3 linked regions of the Macaca mulatta genome follow. The protein of the gene in region 2 interacts with the protein of the main gene of each other region in a pairwise test. Links are inferred from orthologs where the notes say so. Each region holds a gene or a part of one and is shown on either strand. Other genes may lie near its edges.

Region 1 (3,500 bases), on a different chromosome or scaffold from region 2:
GATCACTTGAGCCCAGAAGTTTGAGACCAGCCTGGCCAATGTGGTGAAACCCCATCTCTACTAAAAATACAAAAATTAGCTGGGCATGGTGGCGCATGCCCATAATATCAGCTACTCAGGAGGCTGAGGCACAAGGATTGCTTGAACCTGGGAGGCAGAGGTTGCGGTGAGCCAAGATTGCACCACTGCACTCCAGGCTGGGCAACAGAGCGAGACTTGGTCTCAAAAAAATAAAAATAAAAATAAAGAGGAGAAAGAAAAGGAGCTGGCCCAAAGCTGGGTGGAGGACGCCTGGGGACAATTCTTCTGTGTATTCCTCCTGCTGGCCCTGGCCTGTAACACGGGCTCTGCTCTCAGTTCTCAGTTTAGATTTGGTGGTCCTGGACTTGAGATTTCTGACATCCCTTCGGGGCAGCTCCAAGTACCCACCATGTGTGATGCCTGGGACTCACTTGGCCTCTTCACCGTCGCTGGTGCCCTTTCCTGAGTTTCAGGCTCATGAGATCATTCCCTGTCCTCCCATCAAACATGACCCCTCGTGTTCAACTTAGAATGAATGCCTCAGGGGGACAAATACAGTGGAAAGGTAAGATTGAAACAGGCAGAGCTTTGAAACGCACAGGGCTTGACAGTGGCACTGGGGACTGGCGTTCTGGAAGGCACATGGGGTGGCCAACGTTTAATTCCAAAGCCAAACTGAAAAGGATCAACTAACACGCAGTGTGATCCTCGCCTCTACAGAGGTGTCGCGGGTTTGAGCTCAGAGGGGAAGGAGGCTCAATCACGCCCCTCTCCAGGACAGAAGCCACTGCTCAGTTTGAGCAGGGCCTGTGGGTAAAGTGTAGATACAGGAAAAACAGCCCCGTTGTCAATTCTCCCCCTCAAGCTCAAACGCAACAATGAAGCTGCACAAACACTTCTCTACTTACTGGCATGGTTTTGTCTCCAAAGAAATAAATGGTCTTATAACCGTCATTTTCCACATGTCGCAGGCAATACCTCTTGTCCCATCCATCAGGAAAGACATCAAAGCTGATCTGGCCTCCTGCCGGGTGGGGATGGGGCACATACAAGCAAAAGGTGAAAAAGGGGCTAATGATATGTCACTGAAAAAAAAACAATTTACTCTTTGTCAGTTAGTGGGGTGCCAAGGTTGATTTTCAGTACTCTAGTTTGCTACTTAGACTATTGCATGGATAGGTTCTAGAAATTAATTCTACATCATGTTTTCTGTTCCAGCATTATTTCACGTAGGTCTAAAATTGAGGCACAGAATGCCAACTCAGAGTGAGAAATGCATTTGCATTTAAGCGCCCTGTCAAGCATGTGGTTTAAAGGAAGCATGCTTATGAAAACTCATTCTGCTGTGCTCGTCTCGGGCTTTAACACACCCTCAGTGGAAAATGCCTGGAAGCAGGCCGCATCCAGCATATTTGCAGGAAAAATGAGAATCCTCACTGAAGGTGATTTATAGGCAGCGCTCGTGGGCAACAAGAAACCTTTCAAAGCTTTGTCAGAAAGATGTCCATCTCACAGTTCAGGAATACAAAAAACCCACCCACTCATCTGTTAAATATAATCCCTTTGCCATTCCAGTTTTCCTACAACCTCTACCTTTATGAAAGCTAGTACAATGAGGAGGCTTTGAGCAATGACTCATTAGCCCTGACAAGAGAAATCGGTGTGCAAAGCATTTGACAGGCATACTCTAACAAAAGACAAGCCGGAGACATCCATGCTGCAGGAAGAACTCTGCATTGGACACCAGAAGTGTTCACACACTGGCTGTGTAAACAACAGCTTTGTGAACTCGGACAAGTCTCTTCTCCTTTTTGGGCCTCAGTTTCTTAATCTGTAAAAGCCACCCAATTGGCTCCTAAGGTTCCCGCTGTTGAAACATTGTATGATTCCAAGACGTCGGTCTCGTTTACCTAAGGGGTTCAATTCCATGTCTCCCTTACGGAGTTCACTATAGCGCTTCTCTTCCGCCCAAAGGTGTGAGAAGTTCCTACTCATTAGTAATTGAAGTGCTCCTCTTCTGACGAGAGAAGTGCAGGTAGGAAGAATCCTGTTGTGTAAGAATTTAGAAGCAAGCCCAACAGTCTGGAAGCTGTTTCTTGACTAGGCAAGTCCTATTATGGCTAACTATGCAGAAAAGAGAGTGGCCGCTTTTTGTCTACAGACTGGACTGCTCATTTAATCTTCCTGCCCACCTAAAACTGCACATACTCCATTATCAATAGCTCACTGGCCCACAACAAATTCCAGGAAATGGGGATCCAAGTTTGTAACACAAACAATATATACAATACCTATGGAAAACGTGAGGCCTTTTCCTGCAAACTCTTTCCGTAGATCTGCTACAAACTTTTGTCTTATATTTTCCTTCTGAGAAAAAAAAAAAAAGATGCCAATTGTCTCTTGTATTGCAGTTTAGAAAGCACACTTTTAACTACTAGCCACCAAGGTATGAATATCTTATTTATTTATTTGTTTAGTTTTTGAGATGGGGGTCTCACTCTGTTGCCCAGGCTGGAGTGCAGTGGCATGATCACAGCTCACAGCAGCTTCAACCTCCCAGGCTCGAGTGATCCTCTCACCTCAGCCAAACAAATAGCCGGAACCACAGGTGTGTGCCACCATGCCCGGCTAATTTTTTTTTTTTATTATTTGTAGAGATGAGGTCTCACTATGTTGCCCAGGCTGGTCTTGAACTCCTGGGCTCAAGTGATCCTCCTGCCTTGGCCTCCCAAAGTGTTAGGATTACAGGCATGAACCACCACACGGGGCCATATCTTATTTCCATAAACCCAGCCATTCACCAAAGATATTTCAGAAAGACTTACTTTATCGAGTTCATAGAACTCAATGCGTTCTTCTTGGCTGCAGCTTCTTCCAATTGGCGACACGTTTAACATCCCATTCCGGAATTCAATGAAAGTACCCCTGGGAATGAAAGAGTGACAGAGGTTCCCCAAAACACATTATTTATTTGGGAAACATCATAAACAGCCTAAAATCTTGGGAAATTCTAAAAAGCAGAGGCCAGTGTGGTCAATGTTTCTCAGCTCTGTGCTGTGTAATACGGTAGCCATGAACTACTGTGACTAATGAGACCTGAAATGTGGCTAACATGAATTGAGATTAGATTTGAAAGACTTAGTATGAAAAAGGAATGGAGTCACATCAGTCATGTTGTATACTGACTTTGTGTCAAAATGGTCATATTTTGAGCCTGGATGACACGGCGAAACTCTGTCTCTACAAAAAATACAAAAATCAGCCAGGCATGGTGATGCGTGCCTATAATCCCGCTACTCAGGAGGCTGAGGCAGGAGGATTCCATGAGCCTGGGAGGTAGGGGTTGTAGTGAGCTGAGATCACATCACTGCACTCCAGTCTGGGTGACAGAGTGAGACCCTGTCTCAAAAAAAAAAAAAAAAAAAGGGTCATATTTTAGATATATCAGGCATCTCACCTTTTCCTTTTCATTCTTTCAA
Region 2 (2,869 bases):
ACTTGGAAATGCACATCTGGCCACATAGAGATCCCCTTAGAACGCCCAAGCAACTGAGGCTCTTGGAAACACGTGTGTGTGGGAAACGCACAGACACGCACGCCAAAGAGCACACGGGGCAGGCGCTATGCATGGACAAACACACACGTGTGCACAGACATGGGCCCGGCTCTGCACTCCCCACACTCACCCTCTGGCCCCAGGACTGTAGGAGGGTTGGGGGGTCCCCCTCTGGGTTGTGGCTTCCTCCGAAAGCCCCTCTGCTGGATCCAGAGCAAAATTCTTCTCCAGGTTCTCCTCCTACACTCTGGGATCCTCCTCTGGGCATGGATGGACAGTTGTGGGCACAGAGGCAGCCACCACTGGCCCCAAGACACTTGTGCATCCAAGGCTGCACTGGCCAGACCTCCCCCAGATCCTGTGGTCAACCTCCCTTCCTCCATCCACTGTGCCAGCCAGACAGGAGCTGTGCAGGACAGAGGACACAAACCATGGACCTCTGGACATCTTCCATTTTATAGAATGGGAAACTGAGGCCAGGGGCTGGGGGGCCTGGCAAGGAACATGGTACATGGTAGGTGGCAAAAGGGACCTCTGTGCTCAGAGCTATGCCTCAGGACCCATTGTTCAGATGGGAAGACTGAAGTTGGGGAGGTGTGGCTTGGGTTAGGAAGCTGGGCTCGGGGCAGGGTTCAGCACAGGCATGGCAGGCACGGTGAATGTGAACTTCTCAGTCTGGACAAAGGCAATGCCCTTCTCATAGTAGGCAGCCTCATTAATGAACACGGGGTACACCGTGGACTCCCCATCATAGAGCAGGTCCTCCCCACTGAACATTTGGAAGATGGGAGCACCGGGCTGCAGCGGCTGGAAGTCTCGGTCCTGGGAGGAGAGCCAAGTCCAAGATTGCTGGAGCCACCTCTGCCCTGGCCCCAGAGGGAGGTGACCCCAGCTTGGCACCCAAAAGATGCCCCTCATTTGTGGCCTTTCCCACCCATGCTTCACTTCCTCAATCCGTGAGACAGCAGGTCTGGTGAGATGCCAGTCTGCTCTGTGTCTAGAAATGAAGGCACAAGTCACCGTGGGGAGGCATGTGCCCATGTGGAAGTGGACCCTCATGGACATGGGCACAGGTATTGAAGCTGGAGTTCAAATCCTTGCTAACGGTGTGACTGTGAGCAAGTCACTTAACCTCTGTTCCTCAGCTTTCTTGTCTGTAAAATAAGGATTACAGTATCTCCTCCTATCATTCTGAAGTTTAAACTAAACAGGCTAATAGTGCTTACAGCATGTCTGGCACACAGTAAGTACAATATGATTCTTTATTAAATAAAATTTGGCTGGGCACAGTGGCTCACGCTTGTAATCCCAGCACTTTGGGAGGCCAAGGCTGGTGGATCATAAGGTCAGGAGTTCAAGACCAGCCTGGCCAACATGGTGAAACTTCATCTCTACTGAAAATACAAAAATTAGCTAGGTGTGGTGGTGGGCGCCTGTAATCCTAGCTACTCGGGAGGCTGAGGCAGGAGAATCGCTTGAACTTGGGAGGCGGAGGTTATGGTGAGCCAATATTATGCAACTGCACTCCAGCCTGGGCAACAGAGCAAGGCTCTGTCTCAAATAAATAAATAAATTTTAAGGCCGGGCACAATGGCTCATGCCTGTAATCTCAGCACTTTGGGAGGCCGAGACGGGCAGATCACTTGAGGTCAGGAGTTCGAGACCAGCCTGGCCAACATGGTGAAACCCTGTCTGTACTAAAAATACAAAAATTAGCTGGGTGTCGTGGCGAGTGCCTGTAATCCCAGCTACTCAGGAGGCTAAGGCAGGAGAACTGCTTGAACTCGGGAGGCAGAGGTCACAGTGAGTTAAGATTGCACCACTGCACTCCAGCCTGGGCGATGAAGCAAGATTCTGTCTCAAAAAATAATAATAATAAATAATAAATAAAATAAATTTTAGAATTGTAGGAGGGGCCACCCAAATTGACCGTTACTACTTAACATCTGCAAGGTAGCTGGGCACGGCTGAACTAAGACTGCCTAGCCCTAAACACGGACAGGACGGTGCTGCCTCCATTTGTAAGAAAGTAACTCCTCAAAATGAAACTTCAGGGCACAAAAGGCCACAAAACTGCACCAGACCCTATTCAAAAATGACCCGTGTGGCAGCAAGCAGAGCAGCAGCCAGTGGGTTCTCCCCAGGCACCCAAGAGAAAGGTGTGAAAGCAGGATTGCCCAATCCTGGAACATTCCAGAAGGGAAGGCCTGCAGAGAGAGAGACTTGGACGACCTGCCAACAGGCATGGGGATGCTCTCAACTGAAAATCAGAAGACAGTTTTGTATTTGTACCTCCAAGCAGGTGAATTGAGTCATGCCTGCTCCATGTCCCCTCCCTCTGCCTTTTATGGCCAGGGTAAGGTTGTCTCCATCATGCCCTCCACAGGAGCTATGGGGATCACTGTGGCCTCTTGTGTTAGGCCTGAGTGTGGGGTTCCAGGGAAGGCAGCGGGGCCAGGGGAAGTGGGACGGTGGAGCCCAGCCTCCCATCCTGCTCCTCAACCTGAGATGCTGGTGAGCTCATGGGAGGCTTGGCTGCACCCTCTGGGGCTCAGTTTTCCTTGACAACCCTCCTCCCCAAGGCTGTGGCCCCAGCAATCACCCCCCCACCACACACACACCCACCTGCAGCTGAGGATGCACAGTGCCTGCCAGGTTCCCGGCATCAGTGCGAGGGAAGTCCATGACGCCCACGGGTCTATAGGCTTCCATCTCAAAGGCGGGAAAGGCCGTACCTGTGTGGGAGGCTGGGCTTGTGAGCTCATCCCTCTCTCCAGGCTAGGGGACGGAGTGGGCTGTGGGGGAACCT
Region 3 (3,500 bases), on a different chromosome or scaffold from region 2:
AATATTTTGTTCTCTATTGTTCAGAATCCCATTGAGATTACATTTCATTGAACATTATTTTGCAGAGATAAGTTATGTTAATTATTCAATCATCTTTCAATTATGTCTGTAGGAAGTTTATACTTTTACAAATACCTGCTTAACTAGTGTGGTGCTACATGGAGATGACAAATAAGTGTTTTTGATGATTTTAAAAATTGAGAAATGTTAGCCCTTTTGATGTGCTTAGTGATTATCTTAGAGGGAAAGAATTTTAGAACATTTTGCCTTTGTGTAGAAGCAATGATTTGTTAGCTTAAATTTATATATAATTATAGGAATTTATAATTTATATGTGCTAATTTCTTTTTCTTTTTTTTTTTTAAAGGCTATTAGTGAAAGATGGTGGATCGCTTGGCAAACAGTGAAGCAAATACTAGACGTATAAGCATAGTGGAAAACTGTTTCGGAGCAGCTGGTCAACCTTTAACTATACCTGGACGAGTTCTTATTGGAGAAGGAGTATTGACTAAGTTGTGCAGAAAAAAACCCAAAGCAAGGCAGTTTTTCTTATTTAATGATATTCTTGTATATGGCAATATTGTCATCCAGAAGAAAAAATATAACAAACAACATATTATTCCCCTGGAAAATGTCACTATTGATTCCATCAAAGATGAGGGAGACTTAAGGAATGGATGGCTAATCAAGACACCAACTAAATCTTTTGCAGTTTATGCTGCCACTGCTACGGAGAAATCAGAATGGATGAATCACATAAATAAATGTGTTACTGATTTACTCTCCAAAAGTGGGAAGACACCCAGTAATGAACATGCTGCTGTCTGGGTTCCTGACTCTGAGGCAACTGTATGTATGCGTTGTCAGAAAGCAAAGTTCACACCTGTTAATCGTCGCCACCATTGCCGCAAATGTGGTTTTGTTGTCTGTGGGCCCTGCTCTGAAAAGAGATTTCTTCTTCCCAGCCAGTCCTCTAAGCCTGTGCGGATTTGTGACTTCTGCTATGACCTGCTTTCTACTGGGGACATGGCCACATGCCAACCTGCTAGATCAGACTCTTATAGTCAGTCATTGAAGTCTCCTTTAAATGATATGTCTGATGATGATGATGATGATGACAGCAGTGACTAAGGACACATTTGGGAGTATTTAATCAGGTGTGGCTATCTGAGAAATCAGCTTTGGGGGAAATGTAAGATTCTGGGCTCTCTGTTTTGTTCTAGCCATGAATTTGCCTGAGAAACTTGTAACCTATGTGCCTCAATATATTCCATAGAAAGTAGGTCCCCTGCCTTCTCCCACTCCTCGCACTCTTCTACAGGGATAGACTTTTGCGAATATATCAGATACATTTTTTATTTCTTATTCTTGTTTATTTTTAGGTTATTTTCTCGGAAGGTTGGGAAAAGATGTTTGTTGAACAGATCATGTACTACTGTGTTGTTTTCATTTCTGTTACAGGTAAAACTAAAAGCACAGAATGGTGGGAAAGGGGTTATAATGTGGTTCATTAATATGTTAGTAGCTTTTTTCTAACCATCGTGTCTAATGGTTAAAACACCAGTAACAAAAACACATGATTTGGAAATACTTTGTTTGGCTTTTTCATATACCTAGTGGTGCCTTATCATAATAGCACTGTTACATGAAATAAGCCCCCTACCTTCTTACTTTCTGGTTTTCGAAAAAATACACTGGTGCTCTTTGAAGTGATAAAGTGAGTGTTTATGAATGGGTGTAATTAGGAAATACTTCTCATCCGACAGCTACAAATAACTAAGTTTGGAGGTATTTTCACTCTATATGAATAAATATTTTTCCATAAAATAGTTGTGATTATATATTTGTTTTACATAGGTCCCAAATTATAATTGTCAAATATATATTTTAAATTAATAATAGGTTGTCATTCTTAGGAATTTGGTTTGAAATTTATCAGTTACATAGAATTATACTGCATTAGCTTCCACCTTTAGTAAGACATATTTTTAGATATAAATTCATCTGCTTTAACATTATTTCTGGATTGAAAATCTTATAAAACCCTTGAAAATAAACAATCTCTTTTTTACAAAGCCTGTGTTAGAGCACAGGTTTACCTAGGCTTGAAGATTTGGAAGAAATAATGTGTAAGGATGGTCTCAAGGCAGACCACTTTAAGTCTGGCTAGACTTCATATCGTGGAAGTATTATCTATTTCAGTGTGAAACTATCTTGAATTTGCAAATATAGTGTTATATTTTATAAAGTTTTGTAAAATCCCAAACAATATTTCTATTTTTGTAAAACAATTGTATGTGTAATCTGTATCTGAAATCAGTTTGCAATCTATGGAAATAGAGTAGCAATTGCTATTTCTAAATTGTGAACTGAAAGTCAATCTAGATTTATTTGAGAAGTAATTGCTCACTCTTTACTTTTGAGGCAGCCATTAGGTTGAAAGTATATATTTATCATATAAAACTTGATGTGTTTTGCACTACTCTCTCCATTTATATGCTGCAAACAGCTACAGTCTTTGAAATATGGAAAATCAGCAGTCTAAAGTTTGTTTTAAATTCTAAATAAAAAAAAATCTTCAAATCTGAATATACTGCAAATGTCATGAGAAGTTTGATTCAGTAATTTGTGATGGAGGATTCTTTGGTATCTTACTGTTTAGTTAGGGCACTAATTTTACTTACCTATTAGATTTTGAAAGCATCTGAGATATACAAATCTCCCTGTAGGAAATGTGAAAGAAAAGCACAACAAAACTAGGGTTTTCTGTTCGTTTGCTTGCTTTTATGGTTTTTTTTTTTTGGTTTGTTTTAATATCAGGTGGATTTTTGTTTGTAAGCAATATATACATATAATCAACCAACATATCTGAAAAGGATCATGAAACCTGAGAAATGCTAATGGAGACTTGCTGGTACATAGGAATCTAGCAAATTCAGGAACCAAGGGGAAATGTTCTGAGATAACATTTACATTGTCAACCTTTATTGACTTTGTTTTTACAATAAAAAATATTTTACAACTTACTTTCTGTTCTCCGTATATTGTGACTTGAGGATTTCCCCCCTTTGCTAAGATAATAAACATATTATGCATATTTTGCCTAATAATTCAACAGCTGTGAGTTCCTGCTGTGTGCCAGGCATTGTTCTAGGCAGTAGGTTAGAGCAGTGAACAAAACTCCCCTTTGGATTTACTGCATGAAGGCTCAGAAAACAAACATTCTTCCAAATGCTGAAGATATGGCTTAATGTTATGGGGAAGTGCCTTAATATAATTTGGCTTTGCTGTCTAATTACTGTTAGAAGGAATGACTTGACCTGAATTGACATGTCTCAGAAGGAAACAGACACGTGGCTGACAGGTATGTGAAGAAATGTCCAAGATCACTAATCATCAGGGAAATGCAAATTAAAACCACAATGAGATAATAATACCTGACACCTGTTGAATGGCTGTTATCAAAAAGTTGAAAGAAGCGTTGGCAAGGAGATGCAGAA

The links.
Region 1: the proteins of ACY3 (region 2) and PMM2 interact in binary tests that used the Homo sapiens proteins (3 or more experiments, as listed by UniProt). The two-hybrid records come from large-scale screens. The link is inferred for Macaca mulatta from reciprocal best matches to the Homo sapiens genes ACY3 and PMM2.
Region 3: the proteins of ACY3 (region 2) and PLEKHF2 interact in binary tests that used the Homo sapiens proteins (3 or more experiments, as listed by UniProt). The two-hybrid records come from large-scale screens. The link is inferred for Macaca mulatta from reciprocal best matches to the Homo sapiens genes ACY3 and PLEKHF2.

What each region holds. Positions count from the first base shown.
Region 1 is NC_133425.1:10,037,952-10,041,451, reverse strand, and holds part of PMM2 (phosphomannomutase 2), read right to left. Parts: intron 2,947-3,500; coding exon 2,847-2,946; intron 2,389-2,846; coding exon 2,313-2,388; intron 1,046-2,312; coding exon 930-1,045; intron 1-929. UniProt on the Homo sapiens protein: Involved in the synthesis of the GDP-mannose and dolichol-phosphate-mannose required for a number of critical mannosyl transfer reactions.
Region 2 is NC_133419.1:6,738,208-6,741,076, reverse strand, and holds the end of ACY3 (N-acyl-aromatic-L-amino acid amidohydrolase (carboxylate-forming)), read right to left. Parts: intron 2,796-2,869; coding exon 2,686-2,795; intron 883-2,685; coding exon 667-882; 3' UTR 501-666; downstream 1-500. UniProt on the Homo sapiens protein: Plays an important role in deacetylating mercapturic acids in kidney proximal tubules. Also acts on N-acetyl-aromatic amino acids.
Region 3 is NC_133413.1:105,549,963-105,553,462, forward strand, and holds the end of PLEKHF2 (pleckstrin homology domain-containing family F member 2), read left to right. Parts: intron 1-367; 5' UTR 368-381; coding exon 382-1,131; 3' UTR 1,132-3,029; downstream 3,030-3,500. UniProt on the Homo sapiens protein: May play a role in early endosome fusion upstream of RAB5, hence regulating receptor trafficking and fluid-phase transport. Enhances cellular sensitivity to TNF-induced apoptosis.